Linked DNA regions of Arabidopsis thaliana. The protein of the gene in region 4 interacts with the protein of the main gene of each other region in a pairwise test. Each region holds a gene or a part of one and is shown on either strand. Other genes may lie near its edges. The genes, in order: MYB5, MYB4, TT2 and TT8.

Region 1 (5,169 bases), on a different chromosome or scaffold from region 4:
TAGTCGCATGCGAAGTTCGTTTTAAGTAAAAAGTAAAAACTTATGTAAATTAAACGTCAATTATTCTAACCGCTAATGTTGGTCTATAATTCAATTTTCCTAGGCTTTAACTAAGGGTAGTTTATATGGCGTAAATGTGGGAACGTGTGAAGAGTCAATGTGAAAACGGCATGGTGTTCTTTTTGGTTTTAAGTAACGAATTCTAGAGGGAGAACGCACGGACGAGAGACTGTGATGAAGTAAGCATATATATACATAAAACTGTGTTAAACAATAAATCTGCATGCATAGGTAAAAAACTATATCTTCGACCAACATTGGTCTTACTATAAGATACGTAAATGTGAACTACGCAACAAACTTTGATTTTCGAACTTATAGTATATCCTCATCGATAAAAAGAACCTATAAGTTTCAACTTATATATACAACTCATGAATTGTGTCTGAAATACTTAAAACAAACATTTTTGAGTTTTAATTTAGTATTACATGAAAATAGAGTTTTATAACCTCAACTCGTGTGGTGACGCAAACACATAATAAACCTATAGGCAACATATATGTTTTTTTTTTCAAACAACATATATGTTATTATCGTACTTTAGTATGTAAACTGTCCGGAATATGTTTAATAGCTTATAAAGTTTAGTGTATTTTTGTTTTCAAGGATATGAAGTTTAACGTTAGCACTTAGCTAGCCTGTATTGTTTACATTAAATAAACTTCTTGAAGAAATTAAACTTAGAAACATATCTAGTACCATAATTTAAGATTGTGAACATGCTTATTAGTTATCTGTATTTGACAAAAGCTTACCACGAGTCTTATTTAACGATAGTGATGATTCATTTATTCGCAATAGATATATCCATATATATAAATAGAGGTTTGTGTACTCAGTTACACTCACAATTTATGGTTTTATAATAATCACACAAATCACCACAAAACAACTTAGTACACATATATGCCAACCTTCTAGATCGCATCTGTGACCCCTTCTTGAAGCATGGTAGATATAGAAGACATCAAGATTCGATCAACTATATATCTTCCTGTATCTAGTCATGTCCTAAGCTAGAAGACGACGCTCCAACAATCCCATCCTTACAATCATCCATCTGCAAAGGTTGAGATATTGGGATAATATTACCAAAAGGATCACCAACATCGTTGATGAGCGAATTAAGAAACGATGAGAACTTGTCGTCGTAGCAGAAACCAAAGTCTTCGTAGCCGTGTTCACCACCAAAGACATTGATACTGTTCTTGCTATCTCCATCCCCGCCATTAACAGTGGTATCATCAGTATGAGAACTAGAAATAGGCTCTAGAGGGTACTTTTGTCCACCGGAAACTTCTTCTTCTGGTTTATGGATGTTGTTTGCATCAAGAGGCTTGTGGGTTTGAGGATCAATTCCTTGCCTTAAAAGTTTCTTACGAAGATGAGTGTTCCAATAGTTCTTAATTTCATTATCAGTCCTTCCCGGTATCCTTCCCGCGATCAATGACCACCTGCATCACACATTAGAATTTCCATGAAGAACAAGAGCGGTTAATTACTAATATGGTTACAAAACAAGCTTGCATTTTTATCCTAGTAATCATAAACAATTTGAAAAAAGAATGAATGATCTCTAGAACTATTAATTTGCTCTAGAACCAGAATCAACTTAATTAAAATTATACTCTAAAGAAACTAGAGAAGGGATTAACCTTTTGTTCTATATAAATATCGAATCAAGAATCAAAGTATAATTGTTTTATATAGCTATAAGAAAAAATGGGATCAAGCTAAAATCAGAACCTTCATGTTTATGTGGAAGAAATAAAACCCTAGCTAGCTTAAACAAAAAAATAACTCTAGTGTATGGGTAGAGAGAGACACACACATACGTATGCATATAAACTAAACGATCTTGTATAGTTGAATACTTGACGAGATTTTTTTTTAATATCTATATATATACCTGTTGCCGAGGAGGCGGTGAAGACGGAGGATGAGATCTTCCTCGTCCGACGTAATTCCTCCACGTTTAACCGAGGGTCGGAGATAGTTCATCCACCGTAGACGACAGCTCTTTCCACATCTGAGTAAACCAGCTCTCTTAGGAAGCGATCGCCACCGTCCTTCACCTTCTTTCTTAATGAAGCTCACAAGAATCTCGTCTTCCTCCACCGTCCATGGTCCTCTCTTCATCCCCATCTTCGTGCAACACGGCGTTGTTTTCTTAGACACTGGCTTCTTCCCACCACATGACATCATCTCCGCCGTCTTCAACAAAGCTTTCTCTCTTTCCACTAGGGTTTCGTGATCTCTATGAGTTCTTCGATTGGTTGTTTTTTTCTTTTCTCAAAGTTTCTCTCTCTCCATTAGTCTGCTGATGTTACCAATGAACCTACCGACCTTTTCTCTCACGCGCTAGCTTCGGCGTTTGGTAATAATCTTCATTTGGTTTTTATTTCACCTGCGTGGTTTTTTTTTCCTTTCATTTTAAAGATTTTGCAGTAACAATCATATTGAAATCCAAATGGCTAATGTTATTACAATGCATAGGTTAGTTGCTTCTAGTTATTTATATTAAAGATTTGATACTACTATGAATTATAATTTGATTGGCTATAAACATCCGATTATACCAGCTCCTACAATTGAGAAAGTTATAACAAAATGGTTGATAATACATTAATGAATACTAACCACCTTAATTAAAATTGACACCAGTGAAAAAGCATTAAATATTTGGACCACCTTTTAAATAGATGATTAATCAGTAATTGGACAAAATGCTAGTATTTTTACAAATCGGGAAATAAAGGGGTGAAATCGTAAATAAATAAAAAGTATGGGCCACATAATAAAGAAGAATACAGGCGCATGAGAAATTAACATAATTACCTCTCCTTTATTACAGTTAGTCAATTTCTAACCCAAAACTTTTGTTTTGTTCTTTCCTTTTTCTTAATTTTGATTTTATTAAAATTTGGTCATGTATTTTCACTACTGTAATAGAGCTGGCATCTCTGATCTTTCAACTCCACCAATCTCGAAATCTTTTCTTTCAATTTTCTCAAAAAATTAAAACCCTAATTCTTATTGGATTCTGTTTCCTTGAGGAGCAATTGTGTTCTGTTCGCTGCATTTTTTTTGTTCTGCTGACGGAGGAAGAAGAAACGAGAAGAGATGGCGCGGCAAATGACGTCATCTCAGTTTCACAAATCAAAGACTCTCGACAACAAATATGTGAGCTTTCTTCTTCTCCGTAATTTCTGGGATTTGGGTTTTCTAATGGGTCTCCTTAAGATTTTAGCTTTAGTAATTTTATTGATTTTAAGCTTAAGTCTGGTGCTTTTTGCTGTTTTCTCTTCAATTTTGATTAATTTCAATGGTTGATCCTTGATATGTTGAGGGTAGATGCTGGGAGATGAAATTGGTAAAGGAGCTTATGGTCGAGTTTATAAAGGATTAGACTTGGAGAATGGTGACTTTGTGGCCATTAAACAAGTCTCTTTGGAAAATATTGTTCAAGAGGATCTTAACACCATTATGGTTTGTTATTTTCCTTATATCTATCTTCCTTATTTGTTCCTTACCACTGCTATGCTGACTAATCCTGGTTTTTACATGTGGATGATTCTTGTGCTGTTGGGATGAATTTCTCCAGCAAGAAATTGATCTTTTGAAGGTAGTTTTCTGAATTTTGTACTGTTTACAGAGTTGGGATCCTGATACTAAGTTTATGTCAAATCAATCACCTTCTGAATTTTGGCTTCTTCTCATGAATGGTTATGATGCTGGTTAAGATGCAGTTCTTCTCTATGTATTCTGAGATAATATTTCATTGCAGAACTTGAACCATAAAAACATTGTGAAGTATCTTGGGTCGTCGAAGACAAAGACTCACCTTCACATTATTTTGGAGTAAGTAGCTTTTTTTGTTTATTTTGGTCCACTCTGGACTATGGACGGGAAACTCAAGTTCAATTATGTGTTTGCAGGTACGTTGAGAATGGCTCTCTTGCAAACATTATTAAACCAAATAAATTTGGACCTTTCCCAGAATCTTTGGTGGCTGTTTACATTGCTCAGGTCTGTATACATCTTTCAAGTTGAGTTAAGTTTCGTTATGCATTGTGTACTAACTAGTGAATACAGGTCTTGGAAGGTTTGGTATATCTGCATGAGCAGGGTGTTATACACCGTGATATTAAGGGTGCAAATATTTTGACGACAAAGGAGGTGTGTTTTCTATATTATCTATTCTCAGACATGTCTTCAGTGTGTTTTTGTTTTGAGATCTGCTGGATAAGATTCTTCTAGGCTTTTTCCTTAGAAAGATACTTGACTACATCACACTTCAGGGTCTTGTGAAGCTTGCTGACTTTGGAGTTGCCACTAAACTTAACGAGGCTGATGTTAATACTCACTCGGTGGTTGGAACTCCTTACTGGATGGCTCCTGAGGTACACCTTTGATTATATATTTTCCATCTCCATATTCTGTATAGCTTTCGTACGCAGTTTTGAAACAATATTTGTTGTTGTTTGAAAGATGCTTTTGTTTGCTCCTTTAGAGAACTTTTACCTGATTATGTACGTATTGACAGAAGCCCAACTTCTGTTTCAGGTTATTGAAATGTCAGGAGTTTGTGCTGCTTCTGACATTTGGAGCGTTGGATGCACTGTTATCGAACTTCTGACATGTGTACCTCCTTACTATGATCTGCAACCCATGCCAGCCCTCTTTCGTATTGTTCAGGTATTTGACAACATTTTATGAGTTTGCATTTAAGTCAATCAAATTTAGGTGTCTCTTCCGTCCCCTTCTCCATGTCGTAAACACTTCTCTCCTGAAAAATGCAAAAGCTGTTAGCCAGAAGTGACAAACTATTTCTTATGGTTTCGTTTCAGGATGACAACCCTCCTATTCCTGATAGTCTTTCTCCAGATATTACGGACTTTCTACGACAGTGCTTCAAGAAGGTATAATTTTCTGCTATAGGGTTTATTCACCTACCTCTGTACCAGAACCTAGACAATGATTTATTTAATATCCAGTATGTACATCTGATTTGTATCTTGTGTTTTACAGGATTCCAGGCAGAGGCCTGATGCAAAGACACTGCTCTCTCACCCTTGGATACGAAACTCTAGACGAGCTTTGCAG
Region 2 (4,826 bases), about 12 Mb from region 4:
ACATAATTTTTATATGCATGCATGCATAAATATATTATGTGGTATATGGATATACAGTATATGTATGTTATGCATTCATGTGTAATATGTATGTATGTATGTATGTATGTATGTATGTATGCAGATGTAGATCGCTTGCAAGTGGACAAAAGATGAGGAAAGGTTGGTATATAGGTTGGTAGGGAGATGGGTAGTGAGAAATAAATAGAGTTTGGTAGAAGAAAGGGTCCATTGGTTGTTGCTTCCTTTCCTTCATTTATGGTTTTCATTATTTTCTTTTTCTTTTTCACATATCTCTTTCTTTCCTTTTTTTATCTTAAAAACATTTAAGTTTTCTCCTACCTCCTTCTCTTACAACTTTTCTATTCCTGCCAAATTAACTACAAACCTCACTTTCCACTTGTCATGAAACATTTTCGATTTATCTTCTGTTTCACGTTCTTCTCCTAGATCTTTAATTATAGATCTTAACAAGGTATCATCTATACCAGTACAATCTAAGTATTATGTGATCAAGTATCTTTGCCATACTCGTAATCTTTTTTCTCCTTATTTGGCTTATCTCCAACATTGGATAACGAGTTATTTGGGCAACCAACCTAATCTTACCTCATAAACTGATAATCTTAATCGTATACAAATTAATTACAATAGAGCTATACGATCTAATGATCTATATTTTTATCACCGATCGTCTAGATCCGGTATTTAATATTTATGCCAATGGAGTTAATTTGTAAAAGAGAAAAAAAAACAAATTCTATATATTATAATTCACCAGTTAAATTTCTCATACAAGTTGAAGATATACTTTCAAATTATCTAGGCAAAAGTTTTGTACAGTTACGCCTAAAATTTGACAATATTATTTCATCTCCAAGCTTCGAAAGCCCAAAAGAGAAGTGGTCTCTTTCTTTGCCAACCCTAAAAAATCAAATCCATTGCTCATGTCACTCCCCTTGCTGCTACCTCCGACTACATCGCATCTCATTCTTCCGCATCTGCACTCCATGCCGTTTATCATCCCTAAGCTGCACTTGAAACAACGTGGCGTTGTTGACTTTCCATGCCCTTGAAGACGATCAACATCATCAGGAAGACTGATTCTGAGCTCAAGATTCAAATCTGGGAACTTTTCTTGAACTGGGCACTCATCTTTTTCTTCTTTGAACGTAAGCATTGAGATTTTCTCTGATTTTCCCGGAAAGCTTATACTTTCATGGAACGTTTCGACCTTTGGAGCAGAAGTGAATGAGATATTAATGGTATTACTCGTAACTGGTTCTAGTTGTGTAGGTTTAGAATCTTGAGAAGCTGATGATTCTTGGATTGGTCTATGACTCGTTGGATCAATCCCTCTGTTTATAAGCTTTCTTCGTATATGCGTGTTCCAATAGTTCTTTATCTCGTTATCTGTTCTTCCCGGTAATCTCCCGGCAATAAGCGACCATCTATATATCATCAACAAAAAATAACATCATTTAGATAGATTGAAAACTCCAAGATTTTCATTTTGTATAAATTAAAACGATACTAGTTTTTTTTGTTTTTTTTTGGGTATAAACGATACTAGCTAGTTAAATAAGCCCATATTTAGAGAGTATAGTACTCACTTGTTGCCAAGAAGGCTATGGAGCTTGATGATGAGTTCGTCTTCTTCCTCGGTGAAGTTTCCACGCTTAAGGTCAGGCCGGAGATAGTTGATCCACCGGAGACGGCAGCTCTTGCCACAGCGAAGAAGTCCGGCGGCTTTGGGGAGAGATCTCCAGCAGCCTTCTCCATGAGCTTTAATGTAGGCGACGAGCCTCTCGTCCTCTTCTTTCGTCCATGCTCCTTTGTTTGTGTGAGCTTTCTCACAGCACGGTGACCTTCCCATACTTTTATGTTTACTTTCTTTCTTGTGGTTTAGATCTTATTTCGTCTCAAAATCTTATATATAGGCAGATCAATTCTACTTGTTATTTTATATTGAGGGATTGGCTTTTAGCGAGGGTTTTGGCTAAAAGGGTATAAAGGGATTAAGTTGTTTTTTTGTGTAGTGGAAGAGGATTGAAGCATTTGGTGGGGCACTTGGATTTTGGGTTTGGTTGAAGGTTCAAAGCTTTGGTGTATAGTTTATATAGGGTTTTGACTTAAAGCTAGAGAGGAATATACACACATATATATATATACACAAATGCTTCTAGATGATAGAAAAGGAGAGAGAAAGAGAGTTGAACTTATAATTGCTTCTAGATGTGAGTTGGTGGGATGGATTTGAATGAGTAGTGTATGGTGGCCTTTCGTTTTGGTACAATAAGTGAGAAGCTTGACATATATGGCATCATAGTCTTTTGATAAAGCTATGACATTTTTTTAATAATCATGACAACAAATTTAATATTTCTCACTTAAATATATATATATATATATATATGTAATCAAAGAAATTTCTCGTGTTCGTATATACATAAACCAAAATTATTTAGCTACTTCTTTAATTTTTTTTCTTTCTTTTTTTACTTTGCAACAAGTTTTATTTAGTACAAAATATAAACCAACTCTGTCAAGAAATTAATCAATACATGACAATTCGAGTATTCGACTGTGTACATTTATTGACAAATCGTCTTTTAACTTCGACCGATTTAGTACAAACAGTAATTTATTTTTATTTTTTTGGAGTCTCTTACCTATCGTATGAATTAAGTTTGTAGTAAAACTTAGGCGGGTGAAAATTAATGTAGAAAACCTAAAATTCAGTAAAACAAAAAGTTTGTGAATGGCTTTTATCGCCAGATATTATAGGTCACAAGTAAAAATTTGGGTCTAACAAAGGAAGGGGAAACTTGAATAATTTGGTAGCAATAACGAAGAGAAGATATAATGAAGTAGTGGAGGTAGGTGGTAAAGTTAATGAGTGTTTTTTGGACAAGTGCAGGTCAACTATATAGCCTATGAGGTTTTTGTTGTACTGGTCAACAGTCTTTTCTCTAATATATAGACTGCACTGGATTAGTTATTGTTTTTTTAATCAATAATATATCTAGAACTTAACCCTAATACAATCACTTGCTAATTAAACAAAGCATTATCAAATAACTAATTATATGTGTGGGCAGGATAACTTGTAACTTATATATGGTTTTCAAATTACTCTCACCAAATGACAAGCACTTCATGTTTAAAATATTTGTGATGATGCTCATGTTTCTTTAATATTTCAGTATAAAAACAATACAACAAGAACCACCATGACACATACATATAAATTAGAAATATACATATATGATAAACTATTTGAATTAAAGAATGTGCCTTCTAGAACCTTGACTTAGAATGGTTTTCTCTAACCAACTTCTATTTCTTTCATATTAGAGACTTGAAAAATCAAGACTTATTAAGAGATATTTTTTTAATAATGTTGAACTCTAACTGGACGGAATATTATTATAGCACTAATCGTATCTATATTTTTAGAATACGATCGACAACACTAATCATATACGTATGTAGTAATTCGTATGTCAGGAGAATAGTTGAAGAATAGAACACATAACAGTATATAGGAGAGAATAATTAAACTATAGTATCTACTGTGTACTGTCCATGTATGCTAAACAAAAAAAGTTGAACTTAATTGTGAAATTTGGTAAGTTAGGTGGAAAATGTGAGAAGAAACGAAAAAGAATAATGGTTTATTGAAAAAGATGAAAAAACCGAAAAAGAGAGAGAGAGAGAGAGAGAGTAGTTGAATTTCAATTTGTTTAATCTATTGGTACAAAATCACTCACCTCATGCATGATGATGGCCCTCTTCTAGAAGGTTAGGTTCTTAGCTAAAGGCCAAGATTCTTCAATTCATCAACAAAAGTTTACGTCCATTTACATCTGAATCAAAATTAAACCCCAATCAGTCAGTTTTTCACATTCACTATTTATACCCAATTAACTTATTTACTGCTCTTTCTTTTTTCTTGCAACTAAATTGTAAGAGACAAATTCGTAATATTGTTTTATGAAAAACCAAATGCAGCAACACTACATGCAAAACGTTTTTTAACATCATGGGAGAATAATAGTTCTCCAGGTGAATTATTCTCTCTGTTGTTTTTTTTTGTTTTTTTGTTTTAGGAATAATATGTTATTACTTGTTAGTAGTACTACTAATGGGATTGTAAATGACGTGGAGGAAATAGCGATGTGCTATAATATAAAAGCAAAACTTGTGTCACAAATATAATATAGAAGCGAAATCACAATGTACTGATTAATTTGGCATTTTCTTTAAGTAAATATACTGATATTAAAAAAGAGTAGGATAATTATATTATTTAGGTTGCTGCCAAAAACAAAAAAAAACTATATATTATTTAGGTCCGTATGCGGTTGGGACGTGGGATTTGGTTCACCTTCCACTTTATTATTATTGTTTTAATAATGGATTCATTTGTTTGATATTTAATTTCAACTTTGCGTATTCAGATACAAGAATTAAGATCACCTTGATCTCAAGGTAAAGATTAGATTTTATTGACGACCAAAGAATAAGTTAAGTTTTCCATAATAGTTGAGTTGTGATAAACTGATAGAGTCTTTAATTTCAGAAGAGTAAGATGCTACTATGATCTGTTTCCCTTACGAGACGTGAAAATAAGGTGGATGGTTGGTGACGGTGGATGATTAATTATACACATAACTTGTCACACCACACCATTTGTAAAGAGTGGAATATAATAGGGATAGAGAGGTCCATATCCACCAATGTATATAAATGTGAAGGTATTTAATTGTGCGTCTACATTTTTATTTCTTAAGTTGAGATTTTTTCATTTCTTTGCCGAGCCT
Region 3 (4,373 bases), on a different chromosome or scaffold from region 4:
ATTTCATGAGGTTACAATATCAATTTATACAAATTTTGACTTTTAAAATATACTTTATATAATTATTGAAAGGTATACACTAAAAATCGGTTTTATATACTTCAATATCATAAATTTATAAATCGCAAATTATTTTTAAATATATTAATCCAAGATCTACCACAGGTCAATCTCTTGATTTTTAATATATTACAATAAGAATATTTAAAAATAACAAAATAATATTTAATTTTACGGAATGAAGTTATCTGGTGGAACGAGTTTGGGTTGATACTCATACGGGACGATAATCTACGAGTGTAATCTTAGAATTAACAATTTTAACACAATTATACAATCTTAAACACTAAACAAAAGAAACAATATTTACAAAACAACTATAACCTAAAATTCAAATTTTTAGTTACAAAAAAATCGAACAACGGTGTACAGCGGAGTAAAGTTTACATTATATCATCTAATTGATCAAATTTCAAACAAAAACAATTCATTTGTATATACATCAAACTAACAAAAATACACAGATTTTCCAAATATCTCTATATTATTCCGCAAATCAAAACAAATCTAACATTCGATTTACTATGCAAAACACAAATGAAATATAAATAATATAAATTAATAAAAAAAATTTAGTTATTATATCATAAATAACACTATACACTTTTCTATGCACATTATAATTTATACACTACAATATCTTTCACTAAAAATGTATTCTAATACATTTCTTAAAATATGAAACCCCGCACGTATGTGCGGGTCAGAATCTAGTTTCCTTTAAAATACAAACACTTTTTGATGTCCAATAAAATACATGATTTTTTAGTATCCTTAAAATACATAAACTTCTAAATTGTACCCATAAAATACAGGAGATAGGGGGAAAATCCGGAATATTCCTTTGTTTTGTTTTTCAAATATGTACTGGCACATGACTTAGAACAACCATGCATCTAGTATTTATTTATACGATGATTCCAAAAATGAGAAGAACAAATTCCTTACATTAATGACTATGCCTGCCTATAAATAGACTATACATGTATATTCTAGTAATATTTCGTAATAACAAAATTGTAAAGTTGATTCGTATTACCAATAATTCACAAGTAGAATTTATAGGTTGGGTGGTTAAGCGGTGGTTAGGTTATAATAAAAGCTCTATCATTTGCTCATACATAAATTTACAAAATCTATCAAAAATATTTATGTCGTACGTATTTGCAATAATAAAAAATTATTAGTTAAAGACAAAACCCATTTCTATAACATGTGGATCGTATAATTATTTGTATTTCTTGGTCTCCTTAGTAAGTTAGTAATTAGAAGCGTTCAGACAAATACAGATATACTTTTGTCCGTATAGAGAAATATGTATTAACGTAGGTTTTTGCAATATAGGCTCAACAAGTGAAGTCTCGGAGCCAATCTTCATCGTCGCCACGATGATGACAAGAAGTGAAAGGTCTATTGAGATCGAGATTACCTTGAGCAGGAACCAACTCTCCCAAAATCTCGTTAGATGAAACAAGAGATGTAACGTTTCCACAGTCCAAACCATCAAAATCCATCAAATCCGGGAAGTGAAACTCCGAATGGATCCTATCGAAATCGAATTCGAGATCTCCCATCAACGAAGATCCACCTTGATCCATCTCTTGTTCTTTCAGAGGTAGTGGACTAGTACTACTCTTCTTCTGAAGAGAGAGATCCGAGAAGAGAAGAGTCTTTGAGCACCTAATCGCCTTTGTACGTATAACACATACATTATTCTCGTTGTTCGTCGAATGTTTTATACGTTTTGGTTGCTTGGTTTGAGTTTTGGGAAGTCTTTTGCGGAGGTTTGAGTTCCAATGATTCTTTATTTCATTGTCTGTTCGGCCTGGAAGCCTCCCAGCTATCAACGACCATCTGCTTTAATTATAATGTCACATAACAAATAACTTTACTACAAAAAGAAAATTCTATGTGGTTAGTGAAAAACCTGTTTCCAAGAAGATTATGGAGACGGATTATGAGTTCTTCTTCATCAGATGAGATGTTACCGCGCTTTATCCCCGGTCTTAGGTAGTTCTTCCACCGAAGTCTACAGCTTTTGCCACACCTCTTGAGACCTTTTATGTGTGCCAAGACAATTATTGTACGTAGAAGATATAAAGACGGATCGGTAGATAGAGAGATTAGTACCAGCTTGGTTAGGGAGAGTGCTCCATTTGCCTTCGCCGTGAGTGGTGATGTAATCTCTAAGGATCTTGTCTTCATGATCAGTCCAAGCTCCTCTGTTTAACTCTTCTCTCCTCACACTAGTAGTTGCTCTCTTTCCCATTCTCACTTTTCTCTCTCTTGTGGTTGTGTGGTTGGTACAATTGTCTTTAGTGTTGTGTTGAGAATAGATTCTGTTTTTGTGTTTAGCTGAGTATCTTTATAGGGGAGTTGTTGATATGTCCGTACATCAGTCGCTTTCTAAAACCTCTGTCATACACACTTTGAAATTTTAATGCTTTCTTCACCTGGTAATAATTAGCTTTGGTGAGGTTAATTTTACCGAATTTTAACATCTACAAAGAGTTTTTCTAAGCCAAGTGTGAATTTAGGCCTGGGAGTTCGGCAAATCGGTTTAATCGGGTCGGGTTATTCGGTTTTAGGGAATTTCGGTTTTTGGAAATGCTTCCGAATTAAACCGAATTTAATTTCGGTTCGGTTCGGTCGGGACTCGGGTTTTTCAGGTCGGTTATCTAGATTTATTTAACTTCCGAAATAAAACTGAAAATTTTCATATTCGGTTTATTTGAACCGAATTAGACATGTATCAAATACGGGAAAAGGGTATTTTCATACCCGTACTATTTTCTGAGTGTATTTTCGTATCCAAAAAAATTTGTTGGGTATTTTCATATATTAACCGCATATTTATTTGAATTTCATACCTCAACTTAAGAAAAAGTACAAAATTCAGAGTCAAAGTAACGGGTGTTAGTCAACTCCGTGAAGATGATAAGTCAGCAGACACATGGAAAATATGTGTCTATAACGACGTCGTTTTACGTTATGAACGTTTAAAATGTTAAATTTGTTGGGTAGTTTCATATCTAAACCGCATATTTATTTTAATTTAAAAAAAAGATTGCTAGGTAAACAAAGTATAAGAGAATACATGGTCACACATACCTACTATACATTGTATATCCAGCTACACGAAGTAGACACGAAGTAGATGTATTACATGACCACATATATGAAGTATAGGACGTCATGTGGTTAACACCATTGACATACAATTCCGGTAAACCGGTCAGTTGACTCAGGCTTTGACTAGTGTTGACCGGCGTTGACCAACAAAAAAATTTAAAATTATTTTTAATACTCAAAAATACGAAAATATTTTTTTTCTTTTATATATTCAAAAACATATTCTATATTTCGTAAAAATATATTTGTATTTTCAATGCATTAAATCTTATAATAATTAGTTTTATTTTTAATTTCAAAACTAAACTAAAACTAGAATAAAAATCATTATTAAACTTTAGATTAAAGAGTCATATACTCAATTGTATTAGGAAGCAATATGAAATTGAGTATATGACTCTTTAATCTAAAGTTTGCATGGTAAAGAAAATTATAATATTTTTTATATACTCTTTAGTCTAAATTTATTTTTGTATACTATGTAGTTCCTTTTGTAACAAATATTATTAAGAAAAGTTCTCGTAGTAACACATAAACAACCAAAAACTTGCAATTTTTCTTTTTAATATATAAAAAGATAGAAAATCTAACAATGTTGATTTCAGCAAAAAAGTTTTTAAAATAAAATTCATTTGTATTACGTTTTATTCTAATAATTTTTGTGGTTGATTTTTTTTTATAAAAAATATTGTATAGAAATAATTGAAGTGTTTTAATTGACACTATAAAAATAAGCAATTTCCTTACTTAATTAACTATAATAATATTTTCCTGTTTTCATTTAAAATTTAAAATTTAATAATGATTTTTAATCTATTTTTAGTTAAATTTTGATTTTTTTTGTAAAACTAATTTTTCTAAGATTTAATGCATTGAAATATAGAATATGTTTTTGAATATACAAAACCAAAAAAAAAATATTTTGTATTTTTGAATATTTAAAATAATTTAAAAGATTTTTTTGAATTTTTTTGTTGGTCAACGCCGGTCAACCCTAGTCAACGCCGGAGTCAACTGACCGGTTTATCGGAATTGTATGTCTATGGTGTTAACCACATGACGTCCTATACTTTGTATATGTGGTCATACAATACATTTACTTCGTGTAGTTTGAATTTACTTTGACATTGTTTTGCGTTATGAACATTGAAAATGTTCGAAATTGTTAGATATTAATGATT
Region 4 (7,835 bases):
AAAAAACCGGGACCAAACCAAAAACAAATCGAATCCAAACCGAACTGAGATACATATGGTTTTAATATTTATAAAACCGAACCGGAACCAAACTGAATTACATACTGTTTTTCTGTTTTTCTATGATTATAGTTTTTATAAAACCGAAAAAACCAAACCAAAACCAAATCATAAAACCGTACGCCCACCCCTATGAGTTGTAAGAGTGGTTCGATTTAATATAATCTCCTGTTTACTTTGATTGTAGTTCTCGGTTCAGGTTGGTTAAATTTTTACATTAAACCAATTTCAGTTTAAAACGATTATTATAAAGTTCTGAAATTAAAATAGGTTTGACCTTGGATTATCTTGAGTCTTTTTACCCTGCCATCAATTTTTGGTCAAAGTAAGTTAATATTCATTTAAACCGTTTTTTTTTTCTTTTTGGCAAGGTTTGGTATCTGAATTCAATCAGAATTCTAACAGTTCATACCGAAATCAAAGAATCGAATGGGCCAGGCCAATTTTAAGCAGCCTGCTAAGTGCTGAAACTATAGAAAGATATCTTACACTATTGAACACCACTATTCAAGAAAGAAGACAACAAAGGAAGTGGAGCCAATGCAGTTACACATCTTGCAGCTTTGATAATGTATGATGATCAACTAAGAGAAAAATATATATAGCTCATGCTGCAACTATGAACATTGTCAATACATTTATCTCGTTGGTTGATAGCTTAATATTCTTGACTTATAAATGTTCTTCCATACACTAATTATGAGTATAACTATTAGTCTACTCTAGAAATTGTTGATTCTTACACTAAAACGCAATTTCGTAATTTTGCTGGAAAATTTGATTTCGTAATTTGATGTGCTACAACTTGATTCTTAAAATTGAGCACCAAAGTAGAATGTAATGTTTTATATAAACTCTTTGATTTCTCTAATCTGAGGTTAATGATAAAATTACATAAATTATGACATACAAATTTTGGCATAAATTATTTTAATGAATTTTGTAAAGATTTTTTAATAATATTTTCTCAAATTTGAACGTAAGAAAAAACTACATAGAAATTCTACATCTTTATGCATCAAAAAAAATATGATGTTTTAGATGCAACTGAATCTGCATCCAAATATCGCATTCATACAAAAGTACTAAATTGGACAACGAACAACATCGTCATCTAGTACATTTGCATTTATATGTTGCAATTGCATCATACACAAGTACTACATTGGACAAATGAACAATATCATCTAGTACATTTTCATTTATATGTTGCATCCGGCTATATATGTAACTGATGTCTTAATACATGTGAGGCTAAAACAAAAATACGCTTAATTATCCTTCTCTAGAGTTGGCATCAATAAAGTTAGGGTCTATAGATTAGTATCATGTATTATGACTTGGTGGATGGCTCTTTTGACCTCAGCGATGCTTGCTTTCTTCCCTCTTACTTTCGCCCTTATCTCCGCCTCGAAATCATGGTCGTTCACCGAGGTATGAACTGCCGTAGTCTCTATACCAAGCTCATGAAGAACCTGAAGAATGTCAAGCAACAAACCATCTCGGTACTCACATCTCATCTCTAACAAAACATCATTCTCTATGATGGAAACCTCCACCTCCTCCGATGTTTTTCTCTTACAAGTACGCGTCCGCTTATGCTGTTGCTCATGATGAGTATTCTCAAGCTCATGGACCCTCTTTCGAAGATGATTTACGTACGCAATGGTGTCTCCAAGGATTGAGACTTTATCCATCTTGGTCACAAATGGAACCATTGATCTCAACGTTATGAATTTCTCGTTCAGCTTCTCCCTCCTGCGTCGCTCTGCTACTACGTGGCTCAGATCTTCCCGCGGTAGCCTCTTATCTTTAGTGTTGTCATGGAGGAAAGGAACTCTGAAGATCATTTGTTTGAGCACCCATTGTGACGACGGCGCCGTTTTCACTTGCTGATGCTCTTTGCCATTCTCAACCCTCCACGTGGCAAACGATGATTGGATGTAAGAAGATGTGGAAACTGAATCTGAAAGAAGACTTGTGGGGTGTGACATGAGAAGTGTTGTTACTGTCTGAGAATAGTTTCCACCTTCCTCCATTAGATTCATCATGTCCATATGTGTGTCTACATATATATACAAATGATAATTTCTTAGATATAGCGAAATAAATCCGCAAAATATAAGTAGCTTAGGGTAGATATATATACCTAACGTATGGGTTGATTCAATATGAAGATCAGAGTGTAGATTTTGATTGGAAACATCTTCATCATCAGGAGAGCCAAGCCTCATTTCCTCTGACATTGTCATCTCTTCTTCTACTTCTTCTTCGTCTTCGGCTTCTTCATGCACTTCGTAGGTGGAGTGTTCAGAAAGAGCCGGCTTTGGGTTCGTCTTGCAGTGGTCATAGAAGAAACTCTTTGTGAGCTCAACAAACTCTACATCTTCTCTTACCTACACACACAAATACAACAAATAAATATTGATCCATCACTACAAAAAAAAGGATAGATTACATCAATTAAATAGTATCACAAGTATAAATGGTACAAGTTTAAATTACTTATAAGCAAATGACACAAAATAAATAATTAAACATCAATTATAATAAGTGATGTATAAATTAACATGTTTAGCGTCACTTTAATCAAATTGATAGAAATTTGTATTAGTTTGCATCATTTTAACAAATTGATACAAAAATCTGTATTTACACCAATTAAATAACCGATGTATTCACTTAATTTTATTAACATCAGTTTATAAAAATGATATAAAATTATACATCAATAAGAAGTGATGCTAATAAGTTTTTCTGTATTTTAATTTAAACAAAAAACTAACTTGAATTTATTGTAGATGACGAGAAATTGTTATTACCATAAATAAATAATCATATTGGGTTAATAATTTATTATTAATTCCTATATTTTCCCTCAAAATCAGCTAACTAAATATATTTGTTTCCTTCACTATAAATCCTGCTTTTACGCTCACGATCTTTTTTTACAGTTTTGTATCCAAAAACGTTTTTAGAATATCTTCAAATTAGTTTTTGAAATCTCATAACTCTCATTCAATTCTTCATCTTCAACGACAAGTACTTTCTTATTTTTCTATCATTCTATCTTTCTCTTTTTCTTAACCATTGCTCAGTTTTTTTCTTTTCTTTTATTTTCAGAAATCTGCCATTGATCATTAGGACTGTTTGTTTTCCTACACAGTTTGGAGAAACACAAAGTAAAGGTACTCTATCACTTTCTTTTAAAAATACTTACAAATGGTTATTCTTATTCCGACCAAAACAATTCTGTAAATTTTCAAACAATTACTCTCTTTTTTATTTTGTACAGCAGAAACTCAAGTGTGATGAGGATTCAAGAGATATAAGTTATAACCAAAGTATGATTTTGATTCTGTAAATGGAAGAGAGATGGCATAGAAGAAGAAATGGTATTTTTCAAGAAGAACCAACAGTTAATGGAAGGAAGAAGCATGGAACAGAAGAAAGATGTGTTTAAACACGAAGAAACCAAAACCAAATTATGATTATTTTTTTGCTTATCTTATATAAAGATTTATTGTTCATGTAAAATATTTTATTAAATCTTGATAAAATTTTAGTAGATATTCCAACGAGTAATTATCCACAATGATCTGTTATTTAAAAAAAAAAAAGAAATAAATAAAATAATTATTTGAAATATTAATAACATTGTATTAATAATTATATATATATTAATTAAATCAGTTATTTAAACCGAAACAAATACTAACATCACTTAAATAAATTGATGTAAACATTACATCATTTTTAGTAACTGATACAATATTGATATCAATTATAATAATCGATGTAATTATTTTGATTATTTACATCAGTTACTAATTAACTGATGCAAATTATTTGCATCAACAATATTTAAGTCACTTATTTAAGTGATACAAAATTCTTTTACATCACTTTTAACTAATGCAAATATTTATAATAAATGATGTAAAACAACCTTTTTTTTGTAGTGCATCTCCTTAATTTAACATTACTAAACCTAAAGAAAGATAGGCTATATTCACTTTGTTATTTTGTTTATATATTTCATTAACAAGTAAATAAAAGAGAGAGTATATACAACGTTACCTTTTTCGTTGTGCCTAGTTCCACAACACCATCAAGCATTGGAATGCAAACCACTGTCTGCTTTTTTAAAATACATTTTCATCAGAATACAATTCTCAAATCTTACTAAAAAGAGCAAACTAATAAAGACAAATTTTACCTGAATTTTAGCACTCTAAGTCATTGAGGAACCGACGTAAAAGGCCCATAAAACGACAAGAAGAATTATTCAAGTTAATCAGTGAAAATGTATAAAAGTATAGATAAATAGGTTTACAAGTAGATAGATACATAGTATAGTGTATACATAAATAGGTAAAAATAGATGCATAGTATAGTTGGTGAATGAATAAAAGAATTTACCTTAGCGAGAATAGCTCTAGAAAAAGTTTTACTGTCAACTTCATTTGCACCACTTAGCCATACGTGCTTCCTCCTTGCATACGCTTTTCCTGGCATCCTACAAATTACTACCTCCCAAATTTATATTTGATTTTTTTTTACCACATAGAGAAAAGCATGAAGTATACCCATAACTAACCCATTTTGTTATGCATTTATGTTATATCTATTCATGCTTCTACTTTAGATAATCAATCACCAAACAATGAGAATCTCAACGGTCGCAATAATGTTCATGAAAATGTAGTGTGTGTACGTTTCATTAACTCTCATTTCTTTCTTATTCTAGTAACTCAACTTCCTCAGTTTCTCTTTAATGTCAACACAATATTTTCGATATTCGCATTTAACACACAATACTATTTTTGTCTTCACTTAGAGAAGGAAAAAAAAGAAAGAACAAATTTAGAAACTTGAGTATAGGGAGAGAGTTGTTTACCCAGATGGAGGAGGAAAAGAGAAAGAGACGCACATTAGATAAAACCATTCTGTCTCCGTCAAATCCTCCGGTGACAATGCGGTGCATGCTCTTGCTTCTGACGTTGACTCTCCGGCTAAAAGTGTCTCATAAAGCTCCCTGAGCTGTTGGCTCCTCTCTAACGCCGCCTCTTCTGCCGTCACCTCCGCTGGTTGAGTTGTCTTCCTCGTCTTTATTGCACCGTTGTAGTATCCATTCCCCCACACCAAGACCCTAAACAATGATACTTTCATATAAGTAGTTCAAAAATCTTAATAAATTTTGTAAAACCTTCAAAAAAAAAAAAAATTATTTCAAGATCGAATTGTAACACTACGACAAGCCAACAATTAGCCGAATTCATTTAAACATATAGTTTACATAATATATACGGATATAGATATTATGGTTGTATTGTGAGAGATGAATGAACTATAGAGATAAGAAACTAACCGTTGTTGAGGACAAAATTGCCAGAAGACACTATAAGTCCAGTCCACAGATTGAACCGCCGTCTTAAGCAGCCCTTGAAGCTCTTTTTTCTCAGCTCCGGCCACTTTCTCTGCCGGAATAATACTTGATTCATCCATCGTTCCCGGAGATACGAAAACGTGGTAGCTCTCTCTCTAAAAATCTTATAACTTTGAAGGGTTGTTATTAATATGTGAGAAGAATTTACTCTCATACGCTCATGATGACTTAAAATGGTATGGGACCACTGATTTTTGCAATATGCATGTATACGTATATCATCTTAGTGCTTTTGCAACATGTTGACATAAGTAAAGTATAATGCATGTAATGACTTCTATGTATATATGTATGTATATGAATGCATGACCAAAACTCAAGTGCATTAAAAGTTGACTTTTGATTTTTGAATGGTTGGTTCACCAGACGTTGGATGAGAAAGTGAAATAATGAAAGATCTATGTATCTTGTAGACGTGTCATATACTAATTGGACAAATCAAAATACAGAATGAATATATCTAATAATGCTATATTTATTTATTGTTCAGAAAGCATAACATATTATTGTAGATAAAATAGCTAACTGACAAACAAATGAAAACAAATGTTGCTTTGACTTGTGTTACTGCTACAAGGAGCAAAGAAATTGCGTTTTTCACATTTCTATTATTTATAAAATTGATATTAAAATTATATATTGATTAAAATGTTCATTAACAATTTTAAGAAGTTGGAATTATTGGATGAACATTCATATATATTTTCTTTAAAATGAAAAGATAAACTTAACCAAAGATGGGGAATGGTAGAATTGTTGACCTGACCGGTAAGTAAAGAATGAGAAATGGTTTGGTGTAATAAAGGAGAAGAATGAGATGTTTCACATTTGAGTTATTAAATTATTGATGTTAATTGCTAGCCAAGTAGCAGCCACTAGCCACTATAAGTTTCCCATTTAATAATGTCTTATAAAATATAAATGTAGATAGATACTGTTACGTACACATATCGTAGTACATACGATTTTGGGTATGGTTAAGGGTAATGTATGTACACCTGGTTACTTAGACAAAATCAACATTGAATGTTTCTTGGCTTTTTTGTCGACAAAATAAATGTTGCTTGGCTTTTGCTTCTGCTTCTGTGTTTCTTATTACATGTTGTTTCTTCTGAGTTTAGTCGTTCACCAATTATGTAACTCTGACGACGGGCCACGTGGAGTGGTTTCTTCTTATTGATTTTGCTTCTCCTTGTGTGCATCTTTGTGTTTATAAATAAAGGTGTTATGTAACTCATTTCTCATTGGAAATGATTCAAATAACAGAAAATAAACAATACTGTTCTAACACAGAAATGAGCGATTGGTTATTCACAATCACAAGGACAATGCTTTAGTACATAAACGAGAGGTTGGTTAGGCACAAATGTTAACTAAAACCCAAGTTCTTCCATTCCAGAAATGACAAATCATTCCTATTTATAATGCTTTGTTTTCAATGAAAATGACATTAGCCAAAAGTGTTTTGGCAAGAATTAGTTGTTGGAATACAATATATCTTTACAACGCACAACTGCATGAGCTTTGAAGGACCCCGGCCGGTTTATGATGAGAGTGAACTATTTGAAAAGTGGACCACATAATTGTAGAAAAATAATGGGTAATATAGTGTGATGCAAATTGGTGTGAAGTTTTTTGAGTTATTTTTTCTTTCTTTTTCTGAAATGTAATCATTCGTGTGAATGAGAGATTTCTTGTATTTTGTTCAATATATTAAGACCCGGTCCAAACCGGTCAGTTGGACCGTAATCCCATGATCCCGTTGGGGATCCATGGCTAAAATCGCCATGTATTGAACCCTGAAAAGTTCATCATTAACTTGTGATCTGACCGAATAACGATTTAAAAATCACTTACATCAATCTAGAGGATTTGATTTTATAACCTTTTACCACAGTTAGAGGAATTAGTTTGACATTTTCGGATAACAAATAGTATGGTTTTCTTTTTCCTAACCCTTTTTTGCTACCCAAAACCTAAGCTTTATAATCTTTCATAACATGCGTAAGATAGTAAAAATATCAAGCGGTAATGACTAATGAAAAGACAAAAGTCTAGTGTCTAGTGGTATATTTTAAATTCTATCAATAAAATTTTGTAATTTTTCTTTTAGTCGTGTGTATTGTAACATTGACTAAACTATGTGATTTATGATTCTTCAGATCTTGAGGAAGAAATTACATTATCTACAAAAAAAGGGTGTAAGTGATGGAGATAGACAAAATTTATTGCTGTGATGCTTTATTAGCTCATCTAATATGAAATTGACGATTTACTATTCTTTTAGTGTTTGGTTTTTGGTTTAATTAGTTTCTTTGAATGTAGC

The links.
Region 1: the proteins of TT8 (region 4) and MYB5 interact in a two-hybrid assay, tested with the Arabidopsis thaliana proteins (one study listed by BioGRID).
Region 2: the proteins of TT8 (region 4) and MYB4 interact in a two-hybrid assay, tested with the Arabidopsis thaliana proteins (one study listed by BioGRID).
Region 3: the proteins of TT8 (region 4) and TT2 interact in binary tests that used the Arabidopsis thaliana proteins (3 or more experiments, as listed by UniProt).

Annotation. Positions count from the first base shown.
Region 1 is NC_003074.8:4,417,338-4,422,506, reverse strand, and holds MYB5 (myb domain protein 5), read right to left. Parts: upstream 2,548-5,169; 5' UTR 2,269-2,547; coding exon 1,973-2,268; exon of another isoform or gene 1,518-1,972; coding exon 1,064-1,517; 3' UTR 756-1,063; downstream 1-755. Other genes in the region: MAPKKK7 (mitogen-activated protein kinase kinase kinase 7), read left to right, coding at 3,187-3,246, 3,418-3,552, 3,668-3,688, 3,851-3,924, 4,002-4,092, 4,159-4,242, 4,365-4,466, 4,630-4,761 and 2 more. UniProt on the Arabidopsis thaliana protein: Transcription activator, when associated with BHLH002/EGL3/MYC146, BHLH012/MYC1 or BHLH042/TT8.
Region 2 is NC_003075.7:18,050,916-18,055,741, reverse strand, and holds MYB4 (myb domain protein 4), read right to left. Parts: upstream 2,383-4,826; 5' UTR 1,877-2,382; coding exon 1,614-1,876; intron 1,452-1,613; coding exon 866-1,451; 3' UTR 702-865; downstream 1-701. UniProt on the Arabidopsis thaliana protein: Transcription repressor involved in regulation of protection against UV. Mediates transcriptional repression of CYP73A5, the gene encoding trans-cinnamate 4-monooxygenase, thereby regulating the accumulation of the UV-protectant compound sinapoylmalate.
Region 3 is NC_003076.8:13,724,763-13,729,135, reverse strand, and holds TT2 (Duplicated homeodomain-like superfamily protein), read right to left. Parts: upstream 2,394-4,373; 5' UTR 2,330-2,393; coding exon of another isoform or gene 2,266-2,329; coding exon 1,988-2,265; intron 1,915-1,987; coding exon 1,407-1,914; 3' UTR 1,175-1,406; downstream 1-1,174. UniProt on the Arabidopsis thaliana protein: Transcription activator, when associated with BHLH2/EGL3/MYC146, BHLH12/MYC1, or BHLH42/TT8. Involved in the control of flavonoid late metabolism in developing siliques.
Region 4 is NC_003075.7:6,179,800-6,187,634, reverse strand, and holds TT8 (basic helix-loop-helix (bHLH) DNA-binding superfamily protein), read right to left. Parts: upstream 5,755-7,835; 5' UTR 5,569-5,754; coding exon 5,432-5,568; intron 5,213-5,431; coding exon 4,961-5,212; intron 4,580-4,960; coding exon 4,483-4,579; intron 4,295-4,482; coding exon 4,280-4,294; intron 4,198-4,279; coding exon 4,141-4,197; intron 2,457-4,140; coding exon 2,210-2,456; intron 2,126-2,209; coding exon 1,374-2,125; 3' UTR 1,112-1,373; downstream 1-1,111. UniProt on the Arabidopsis thaliana protein: Transcription activator, when associated with MYB75/PAP1 or MYB90/PAP2. Involved in the control of flavonoid pigmentation. Plays a key role in regulating leucoanthocyanidin reductase (BANYULS) and dihydroflavonol-4-reductase (DFR).